Macaca fascicularis: one gene and its partners. The protein of the gene in region 3 interacts with the protein of the main gene of each other region in a pairwise test. Links are inferred from orthologs where the notes say so. Each region holds a gene or a part of one and is shown on either strand. Other genes may lie near its edges. The genes, in order: TNFAIP1, ENOX1 and ZMYND19.

The links.
Region 1: the proteins of ZMYND19 (region 3) and TNFAIP1 interact in binary tests that used the Homo sapiens proteins (3 or more experiments, as listed by UniProt). The two-hybrid records come from large-scale screens. The link is inferred for Macaca fascicularis from reciprocal best matches to the Homo sapiens genes ZMYND19 and TNFAIP1.
Region 2: the proteins of ZMYND19 (region 3) and ENOX1 interact in binary tests that used the Homo sapiens proteins (3 or more experiments, as listed by UniProt). The two-hybrid records come from large-scale screens. The link is inferred for Macaca fascicularis from reciprocal best matches to the Homo sapiens genes ZMYND19 and ENOX1.

The regions. Positions count from the first base shown.
Region 1 is NC_088390.1:33,796,994-33,800,741, reverse strand, and holds the start of TNFAIP1 (BTB/POZ domain-containing adapter for CUL3-mediated RhoA degradation protein 2), read right to left. Parts: upstream 2,705-3,748; 5' UTR 2,609-2,704; intron 1-2,608. UniProt on the Homo sapiens protein: Substrate-specific adapter of a BCR (BTB-CUL3-RBX1) E3 ubiquitin-protein ligase complex involved in regulation of cytoskeleton structure.
Region 2 is NC_088391.1:22,692,431-22,696,078, reverse strand, and holds part of ENOX1 (ecto-NOX disulfide-thiol exchanger 1), read left to right. Parts: intron 1-375; coding exon 376-513; intron 514-3,648. UniProt on the Homo sapiens protein: Probably acts as a terminal oxidase of plasma electron transport from cytosolic NAD(P)H via hydroquinones to acceptors at the cell surface.
Region 3 is NC_088389.1:1,725,136-1,728,791, reverse strand, and holds the start of ZMYND19 (zinc finger MYND domain-containing protein 19), read right to left. Parts: upstream 2,852-3,656; 5' UTR 2,606-2,851; coding exon 2,555-2,605; intron 1,051-2,554; coding exon 991-1,050; intron 1-990. UniProt on the Homo sapiens protein: May be involved as a regulatory molecule in GPR24/MCH-R1 signaling.

The DNA of each region.
Region 1 (3,748 bases), on a different chromosome or scaffold from region 3:
TAATTCAGCAATTAAACTACTGAGTGCCTACTATGTTAAGCAATAGGGAACAATGAAAAAACATTGTCTTTGCCTTCAAACAGTTCAAAGGAGCATCATAACAGGAATTTTTAAAAAGAGAGAGAGCTAGCATTTATTGTACCCCTATGTGCCAGGCACTGGGTACTCAGAAGAGAACAAATATAGAAAGTCATGTCCACATGGAGCTTACATTCTAGTGGAAGGAAATAGTCTATAAACAAGGACTTGAATAAATAAACAGATAATTCCAGAACCTGATAAATGCAATAAAGATAATAAAACAGTGACATGAGAGTGATTAGGGAGAGGCACTAATTTAGACAGAGGGACAGGGTAAGCATCTTTGGGAAGGTGACATTTCAGCTGAGGTTTGAAGAGAGCATTCTACACAGATGGAAGAGTAAGTGCAAAGTTCCTGTTAGAAACCAGTTTTAGGGGCCGAGTGTGGTGGCTCACACCCGTAATCCCAGCACTTTAGGAGGCTGAAGTGGGTGGATTGCTTGAGCTCAGGAGTTCAAGACCAGTCTGGGCAACAGTGAGAGTTTGTCTCTACAAATGAAAAAAAATTAGCCAGATATGGTGGCTCATGCCTGTGGTCCCAGCTGCTTGGGAGGCTGAGGTGGGACGATTGCTTGAGCCTGGGCAGGTCAGCCTGGGTGACAGGGAAATCTCGTCTCAACAACAACAAAATAAAAACAAGTTTTAGGATCAGAAATAAGGTCATAATGGCTGGTGCACAGACAGTAGGGGGAAGTTGGTTTGATGTCAAGTCAGGGAAGGCAGGTGTTAGATGATAACAAAGTGTGGATTTCATACTAATTGCTATTACATATATATATATATATATATATTTTTTTTTTTTTTTTTTTTTTTTTTTGAAACAGAGTTTCACTCTTGTTGCCCAGGCTGGAGTGCAGTGCCACGATCTCGGCTCACTGCAACCTCCGCCTCCCAGGTTCAAGCTATTCTCCTGCCTCAGCCTCCCTGAGTAGCTGGGATTACACGCATGCACCACCATGCCCAGCTAATTTTGTATTTTTAGTAGACATGGGGTTTCTCCATGTTAGTCAGACTGGTCTTGAACTCCCGACCTCGGATGATCCGCCCGCCTTGGCCTCCCAAAGTGCTGGGATTATAGGCATGAGCTACCGCGCCCGGCCTATTGCTATATAATATATGAATCAATTGGAGAGTTGCAAGCAGAGGAGTGATATGATCTGACTTGCTTGTAGTGTATTTTGAAAAGATAACGGCTGCTGGGTAGAGAATGAATTGTAAAGGTGCAAGAGAGGAAGTGGGAAGACCAGAGGAAACTGTAGTCTAGGCAAGAAGAGATGACGGCGGGCCTGGACCACGTTAGTAATAACGGAGACAGAAAAAAAGTGGAATGATTTCACCGAATGCTCATTACATGCAGGAGTTTACAGTTGCTCCTCTCTTGTAAGTGCAACCCAGAAGCAGGGCACTGGTTTCCTAAGTTTACTGCTGTGTTCCCCTAATGGTGCTTAGCACAATGCCATGCACATTTTAAGTATTTAACATATGTCAGTTTGTTGGATTGAAATTGTCCCTGAAAAGATTTAGGTAAGTCCCTGGGAAGAATGTCCAAGGAAGTGGACGGCCAGCGTGGGTGCTGTGTGAAGCAGTGAATTCCTTTGGCGGCTTGTCTGGGAGACTCTTTCCTTTGCCACAGAGGTTGGGTATGGGAGGTGAACCCTCACCAGGAGGCTGCCAATGACTAAGAAACACTAGAATGGTATGAGATCACCTTCCCTTCTTCCGCCCACCTCAAAGGAATAAATCCACCTCCCTAACAGGCATTAGCAAGTTCCCTATGTATTTTGTGTCTAGCCCTAGTTTTCCCAGGATCAAAGAAAGCATACATACATGTTCTGTCAATGCAAAGGAGCTCAAAGGATAGGCCTGCCAAGAGAGGTCGGCGGATCCAGAGTTAATCTATTCCTTTCCTACAAAGCAATTGCTTTGAGCCCCTGGATGACGTCAATCAGATTCCGCCCAGACCAATGGGTTCCAGGAATCCTGTGGCAGGTGACGCCCCAGAAAGTAATTCCAGTGAGAATGAAGTTTCCACTGATAGCCACAGTGCTCTTCCTTCCGCACTTTGTGTGTGGATATTTGGGGATGCCTGGGGCTAGGGGCGGATCCATGGCTCACGCAACGAAGCTAATGGGAACCCAAGCAGAACAAAGGGCAAACAGCCGCGGCTGTAGAAAGAGGAGAGGTCTAAAAGGAAGAAGGACCCAGAAATCCGTCAGACACGGAGGACGGCGCGGGGAAAGCTGAGGGCTAGAGTGGGCGGATCTAGCAGAAACCCTAGGTGTAAAGGTTAAGCGTCACCCAAAAAATCCTGGGAAATGTGGCCGGTGTGGGCTCTTCTCTAGCCCGGGCCACTCCTCACTACCGAGAAACCCACACCGATTCTCACGCCCACCCTCCGTGGGAGATCAGAGCTCTCCTTTTCCCCAACGCCGCCCGCGCCTTTTCCCCAGGACCCGGCCGGGCTCGCTATACTCCAGCAGGGGCCGTCCATCCCTTCCCCGAGGGCATCTGCGGGCCCGGCTCTCACCGTCCCCGGGGGCGCCTCTCCTCTCAGCTGGGTGGCCAGCGGACTCCGAGCCGCCCCTAGCCTGCAGCCGCCTGCCCACCAGCAGTCCCGGGCTGTGAGCTCACATCCTGCGCTCGCCGACTCCGCCCGGAGTGCGGCCCAGCCCCACCGGTCGGGGAGCCTGAGACTACAAGTCCCTGCATGCATAGCGCTCTATCCGGGAAAGGGTGGAGGCGGAATCCCCCGAGGGTCTTCGCGGAGAGAGGAAAGCCACTTCCGGTCGCCTTGCCGGCGCTAAGGCTTCTGGGTCTTGTAGGCCCGACCTCCCCTCGGGCCTCTGTTTCCCAGCAACCTCTGTGGATTCGGGGCTGTAAGTGCTTCCGGGGTCAGGAAGGTAGTGACGTCATGGGTAAACAGGTTCTGTAGCCGTGGCAGCGGCCGTGGCAGGCTGACTGGGTACCGGCTGCCGCTGACCCGGGAGAAGCTGCCTGTCTACATCAGCCTAGGCTGCAGCGCGCTGCCGCCGCTGGGCCGGCAGGTAGGCTGACCTCGGGTCGGGGGATGCGGGCGGACCAGGGGCGAGAGGAGCCTGACAGGCCCGCGTCCTGAGGAAAGAGCCCGGGCGGAGAGAGACGTGGGAATTCCGCCCCACTCTCAGGGGGCGCTTTCACACCCAGGTTAGGCCTGGAGTTTGACGCGTTGATGCTTGCCACGATCTTACGAGGAAACGGGGCTCGGATAAATTCGGGGAATTTACATAGTAAAGAGTCTGCTCGCAGTGCCTCGCATGCATCTGGGAGAGCCTGGCCACACAAATTATGCCACCGCGTCATGCTCAGGGAGCTTAGTCCCAGCTCTTGGGCCAGGTGTTGCTCAGATGCTCAGACACGCGTGTGATGGGAGTTGGTAGAGAATCTGTGAACTCTTTCCCTGCACCCCTTCTTCCATCTTACCTATCTCTTTAAGCCAGCCCCTCCAATCAGATAGGTGGGCCAAGCCAGATTCATGGGAGTCATGCCTGACTTGTTTTTCTCTTATCCCAAAACCGCCACATTCAGTCAGTCCATTACTAAGCCCCAATCACCTCGACTTACAAAACATCTCAACTCGGAGCACTTGTCTTCAGCTGCCAGCCTTGGTTACTGTAATGGTCTCCTGTTT
Region 2 (3,648 bases), on a different chromosome or scaffold from region 3:
TTACACCTAGAAACAGTAAGCCAATTAACTTGTTTTACCAAGAGAGTATTACTGCTTTGCCTCTCAGCCTTGTGACTTAACTAATGTTGTTTCACTGGGAGAAACAAACAATTCTTCAATTTTTTTCCAGGGGTATCTCCTTAATAGCATGCTGTGTATAATATAAACTACATGTCATTAAGTTTTCTCCCAGAAAGTATTTGGAAACACTTTATGTTTATGTCTGGAGAAAACATTGCTGTAGATTATAGTTTTTTATTTTTGTGTAGTTTGGGAATGTGCTAAATGAAGCCTCACATCTCCAGAAATGTGATTTTCTTTAAAACAAACACCCTTGCCTATGAACTCTAAATCATGGTTTGTTTTTCCCCACAGCAGCTGATGGTTTGGGGAGTATAGCAATAGACACGACCCAGCTCAACATGTCCGTGACAGATCCCACAGCCTGGGCTACAGCCATGAATAACCTGGGCATGGTTCCCGTGGGGTTGCCTGGACAGCAGCTCGTGTCTGGTAAGCTTTCTCCTGGTTTCAGAGATGCTTGCAGCAGTCCCGAAAGGTGTAGGTGACAAGTGCCTGGTAATCTCTCTGCACTGCGAGTGTTGGACATGGTCTTTTATTTATGACTGGGGCATGTTTGGCAAGTTGTACTTGAGATTCTTTTCCTCATCACCTTTCTCTTGTACCTAATAGCTGTTCTCAGAAAAAAACATGCTAACTATTATTGCTATACACAGTCTTGCAACATCAATTGCATTTCTTAAAATTGGTAAATAGAATGGCTAATATTTGTTTTCCAATTTGCAAAACTCATTCACCTATATTATCCCATTTGATTGCACTGTCTTCCCTTTATGATAGGTAGATATTTCTTGTTATTGCTCTTGTTAATGTTTCCATTTTACAAATAGAGAAACAGAAGAGCAGAGTTTAGGTATCTTTTCCACATTGAAGTGGCAGAGCTATAAACAGCTCAGGTGACACTAAATTCCCTGTTTTCTGTCCACCACATGGTGGAATCATAATACAATGCAAGCATTCAGTAGAGAAAATGTTTAGAAATATCACAAAGTCAAAAGTCATCTAAAAGATTTAATCATTGAATTTAACAGGTGTTTGCTGAGGATTTTACATGTGCCCTGTAAAAAGTGCTTTGAGAAACAGAATAAATATATATGTATATAAGTGTCTTTGAAGATCCTTTCTCTTTAAATTGAAAAAACAAAACAAAACACCAACACCTGAAAAACAATGATAAAAATGATGTGTAGAGTCAGGTGTGTTAAGTAGTGGTGCAGACTGGTAATGTAGTAATCAGATCAGTCACTGGGGCTTTAAGGAAAGATGTTATCAGGAAGCTGGGGCTTGCGCTAAGTCTGGAGACATGAGTAGGATTTATATATGCACTCACTCATTCATTCATTCAACAAATATTCATTGAGCCACTGTCCTGGTGCAAGGGCTCCCACAGTAAACAAGACAGGTATGGTCTGCCCTCTCAGAATTTATAGTGGAGAGGTGACAACCAGGCATTATGCAGTAGTCATTGTTATAATGGCAGAAGAAAACTTCACTTTTGGCCATCAAGGTAGGTGAGGGTAGATGGTGTTCATTAAGTAGAAACCAATCGCTTTTGGAATGTTGCTAAATTTTACTCCCACATACCTGTGCACTTTATGCTGAGTTGACCAAGCATTTGTTTTTTGTTCAATAGTGGCCATAAATGAAAAATTGAAAATTAATTATAGTAATATATATGTGTGTGTGTGTATGTGTACATGTGTGTATGTGTATATGTGTACACATACATACACACACATATATATATGGTTTCTTTTTTAATATAACAAGAAAGAACATGAAAATGGATAAGAGACTAGGGAAAGTAGGAGACAAAGGAAATACAAAGGCTGAGTTTTAAAACATTACATTTAGGATATTTATTAAAGTCTTCAAAATGCTATCAAATTCATACAACTGAAGATTAGTCTGCTCTAGGGAGGTGGGTATACATAAATGACATTTTCTATGGCTTGAACGTGTGTTTATCCCAGGCCACTTTCCCCTAAAGCTTACCTAGACAGATACTTTCTTCTAATAACTTGAGAGTAAAGATTTCTATTTTTCCACCCAAGTTTCCCCAGTTGCCTAATTGAAATATTCAGAAAGCAGAAGTAAGTTACTCTTGTCTCACCTCCTACTTCTCTCAGAAAATGTTGTACGACTTCTAGAGTAAGCCAAAACCTTCCTAATTCATTATTTTTTTCTTGTGATTTTGAGTCTTCTGACATTTTCACTGTGACCAATTTACGATTTTCCCAGCAACTTGCCATGAAAAGAATTACAGCCCTACTCGTTATAGAAGATTTACCGTATCTGCCTGAATTACTTTTTCTATCTCCTGTGTTAGCCAAATTGCTTAAACTGTTTTTGAGCCTTTCAGGGTCTTTCTGGGCTTTCCTTCATCATTTACACAGCCTGATAATTTAACTGCACTTTGCTTTGTTCTCAGGGCCACCAGCCAACTGTTTTAACATCTTACCTAAACAATTATTTTTTTATTTATTTATTTTTTTTTTTTTTTGAGACGGAGTCTGGCTCTGTCGCCCAGGCTGGAGCGCAGTGGCCGGATCTCAGCTCACTGCAAGCTCCGCCTCCCGGGTTCACGCCATTCTCCTGCCTCAGCCTCCCGAGTAGCTGGGACTACAGGTGCCCACCACCTCGCCCGGCTAATTTTTTGTATTTTTTAGTAGAGACGGGGTTTCACCGTGTTTGCCAGGATGGTCTCGATCTCCTGACCTCGTGATCCGCCCGTCTCGGCCTCCCAAAGTGCTGGGATTACAGGCTTGAGCCACCGCACCCGGCCATCCTAAACTATTTTTCCATTGTATTCTTTTATATTAAAATTTTTTAAATAATTCATCAACTCTCCAGATTACTTAACCATTCTACTATTTACATTTAGGCTGTTTTCATTTTTTCACTGTTAACTAGCCAAGTTTCCTTAAAGAACTTAGTCTCCCTGAGCATGCAAAAACATCTTACCTTTTCTATAAAATGGTGATCATATCTATTTCATGGAACTGCTGAGATTTAAATGGGATAATTTATATAACCTCCATCTGGTAAGCATACATTAAATAGTCTTCTTACTCCTTTGTTCTTATTTCTTCCTTTCTCCTTTTTGCTTTTTTAAAGCAAGTAACATTTTCCTTTAAAACATTGCAGTAGACATTTTTATGGATGGGGCTTTTTAGCTGTTAGAATTATTTCCATTGGATAGGCTCCTACATGTGGAACTAGTAGGTCAAAAGAAATGAGCATTTTCAAGTTTCTTGCTGAGTACTGGTCGATTAATTCCCAAAATATACATATGGACTTAATATTTACTAATTTGATATGCAAAAATGGCATCCTATTATTTTATCTTAAATTATTCTATAACTACCCTTGTTTATTTCCTTATTCTCCTTCATTTTCTATTCATATTTTCTCTTTTGCAAATAATTATTCTCTGATAAATGGATACTTGGTAATTTTGTTGTTGTTGTTTATATTTGGGCATTTGTTAAACATTTTAATCCTTGGACTTCATATTTCCTGAAAATGTTTATCTAGTCCGGGTTTTGCCTCCTAATGTTAGTTCTT
Region 3 (3,656 bases):
CAGGAGATCGAGACCATCCTGGCTAACACGGTGAAACCCCGTCTCTACTAAAAAATACAAAAAAGTAGCCGGGCGCGGTGGCGGGCGCCTGTAGTCCCAACTACTCGGGAGGCTGAGGCAGGGGAATGGTGTGAACCCGGGAGGCGGAGCTTGCAGTGAGCTGAGATCCGGCCACTGCACTCCAGCCTGGGCGGCAGAGCGAGACTCCGTCTCAAAAAAAAAAAAAAAAAAAGAAAAAGAAAAACCAAGTGAAACAAGCAAGCCAGAGGAGGGACAAATGCCAGCCCTGTCCCTGAGACCCTGGGGAGTGCAGAGCCTCCCATAGGCACATGGCTCCCAGGGGCCAGCGTGGCCCCACCACCACTCTGTCTATCCAGGCAAGAAACACTCACAAACAACTCTGCAAAATACAATGGACATAGACAAATACATTTTCCTACCCTTGAAAAAAGCCCACAGTGCAGTGAGATAGAGAAACCCCTGGACAAGTCACTACTGTGAATGTGTGGGGCACAGAGATAAAGTGTGGTGAGGGAGGCCAAGCTCAGTGGCAGGAACGGAAGCTGGGAAGAGGCAGGAAGACCCCATGAGAGCAGAGAACGGGAGGCAGCTGGGCAGCCAGGAGGGGCTAGCGCAGGCTCAGCAGGTGGCAAGCTCTAAGGAACAAGGTCTTCGAGCTAACAGACATGGTCCACGTGACACAATCGCAAACGTGAGAACATTCCATTTGCTTTCAAGAAGAGCTAACAGCTGAGGTGAAAGTGAGGAAAGACCAGTGTCGCCAAGCCGCGTGGGCCACAGTGGGAGCAACAGCCAGGTTCTGCGGGGCCACGGCTCCATGTGGGGCTGAGGGCTCAGGGCTCACAGCCAGCCCCAGATGTCCACTTGTGGGGCCACCTGCTCTTGCAGCACAGGGGAGGGCTCGCTCCTCGTGACCCTCCTGGGCACTGACCACAAGCATTAAGGGAAGGAACAGGCATCCTTACTTACCTCAAAGGAGTAGCTTTCCACCAGCGGGATGTCCTGCTCATCGATCAGCGTGTATTTGGTCTGAAAGTTAACCACATGTTTCAAATCATTACATTTGAGATCTGCGTGAGGTGCAGTAACCTTATAACCAGAACAGGCAGGAGCCTGTTGCATTTTCCTGTGAAGTGGAAAGTAACCACAGGCCTCTTCAGACCAAGACAGCTCAGCACACGGGGGCCTCATTCCACCATCTGGGGTGGTGCAGTCTACGCCAAAACACAGGCAGACTGGTTAAAAGACAGCAGACCACTTTCATCTGCTCCAGAGGAGCTGGTATCAGGCCTCATCCTCGCAGGCCTAACCCCAACAGTGGCACGGAACATTTAACACACCAATAAACCTAGGCAGAAACGGTTTCACTGAGCTGAGGGAGGGTCCAGGGCTGAGGCAGAAGAGCCAGAAGGTTATGATTAGGGTGTGTTTATTAAGCTGAGCTGCTCATTGAATTGCCCTTTTCAGTTTTTTGTCCATCTGAAATGTTCCAAAGAAAAGCTGTAAGGGATGACAATGTCATCGGTGGTGGAATCAGAAGGGGTCTCAGGTCTCTGACCTGACTGGGGAGCCCACCCTTCCCTGGTGGAAAAAAGCCTCCTCCCCAGCAGGCCCTGCCTATGCTCTTGCAGCAGGGGCAGGAAACAGGAACAGGTCCCAGAACGGGCCAGTATCCCTCTTGGCAGTTTTTCTTCTGGGATCTGAACCTGTTTTACCTGACGCCGCCTGACACTGCCTCCGCTCCTCTCTCCCACCAGAAGCTGCAGCCGCTGGTGACGGCAACAGGGCTCCCATCCGGGTAAGGACCCCGGCTGGTGCAGCTGCACAGGTGGCTCCGAGAAACCGCCAAGCCTCAGTGCCCACAGGTGCCATGGAATCCCCAGCCTCAAACGTGCAGCGTGGGGGCCAGGTGAGAAGAGAAATCGAGGAAGGCCCTGAGTCTGCATCAGGGCCCAGGCTTCTTCCTCTCTGCTGTGAGCCCGAGGCTCTGCCTAACCTGGCCAACCCCTGGCAGCGTTAAAACGAGCCCGAAGCCCTGCTGAGAACTGGGAGGCAGAGAAGAGCCCACACCAGACCCGCCTCGGCGAGAGGTGTGGAGGTGGCGCTGCCTCGGAAAGGGCGCTGTGTTTAAACCGTGTGGCCGCACCGGCAGCCCGGACGCCGCGCTAGGCCCCGGCTCCCCGACACCACGGGGAGGGCTCCGGGAGAACGCGGCCGGGCTCGAGCCACGCATCTCCGCGCCCGGCTCGGGACAGGGCCGTGGCCTCCGCCTCCGGCAGGGCAGGGCCGAGGGCGGCCAGGTGCGCCCCGCCGCCGAGGGGTGCGCGCCCGCCGGCCTGCGAGAGGAAGCTGCACCCGCGCGGGGCCAGCAGCCGGGCCCGCGCAGCGTCCCCCGCCCCGCTGGGGCCCATCCCGGGCTCCGCGCCCCCGCCCCGGCCGCCGCCCGCACAACCGCCCCCGGCCCCGGCCCCCGGCCCCGCGCGGAGGCCAGGACGGGCGAGACGGGCCGGGCCGCGGGCTCCGCGCCGCTCACCTTCCCGGCCACCCGGCCGAGCCGCACGATACCCAATTTGAAGTCGGTCATGGCCGGGCCTGCGCTCTCGGCCGGCAGCGCCGCTCCCTCGGGAGGCGCCGGGCGGGGGCCGGGGCGAGGCCGCGGCGCGCCGGGGCAGGACGGGACCGGAGCCGGGGTCGGGGTAGCAGCCAGGCGGGCCCCGGGCGGGACGAGGCTGGGCCGGGCTCGGGCCTCCGCCGCCGCCTCGCGCCCGCCGGACCTGCCACGCGCCGCCGCCGCTGCCGCCGCCACCGCGCGCACCACAGCGAGCGGAGCGGAGGGGCGGGGCGCAGCCCGGGACACACCCCCCGGCCCGCCGCCGCTCGGCCAATCGCTAGGCGCGCACGGCGCCGGCCGGAGCGCGCCGCGCCGCAGCAACCAATGGGAGGAGGGCGAGTGCGCCGGCGCTCTGGGGAGCGGGGCGAGCGCGGGGGAGGGGCGAGGTCGGGGGCGGTGCCTGCGCGCGCCGACGTCAGTTTCGCGGGAAGCTTTGTGCGGGCCGCCGCGCTGCTCCTGGAGGGGCCGTGCGGAGCGCGGCTGGGGACTCGCGCCGGGTCTGTGGCGCTCTGCGAGCTGGACGCCCTTCTCCTCCCTTGCAGTGGCCCTCGTAAGCTGCTTCCCGCCGCCGTCCTGGCCCCAAGCGCGGAAGGAGGCGGACGGAGCGCGTGTGGGGCCCGCTGGGTGGGCGGGGAGCGGGCGAGGCGGGCTAGGAAGAGGCCGTTGCCGCGGGACGCGGGTGCTCCTGGAGAGACCGCGGACGCCCGGCCCACGCGACCCGGAGGGTGCGGCCTCCCCCGCAGCCTTTTCCGAGCCGCCGGTTCCTCAGCCCCGGGGGCGGCTGACCGCCGGAGCAGCCTGGTCCAGGGCGTCTGGAAACGGAACTCCAGTGAGGCCGGTTGGGCTCCGCGGGAATGCCGAGGCCCGCTCAGGGAGGGACTGGGTACGCCGTGGTGGGCAGCGTGGCCTCCCCTGCAGCCTGGAGCGAACGGGGCTAGGTCCTGTGTCCTGCTCCGCCGGTGTCCGGTCGCCCGCGGGGAGGCCTCACCCTGCCGCAAGGGGCGACTCTGCCACCTGAGGAGCT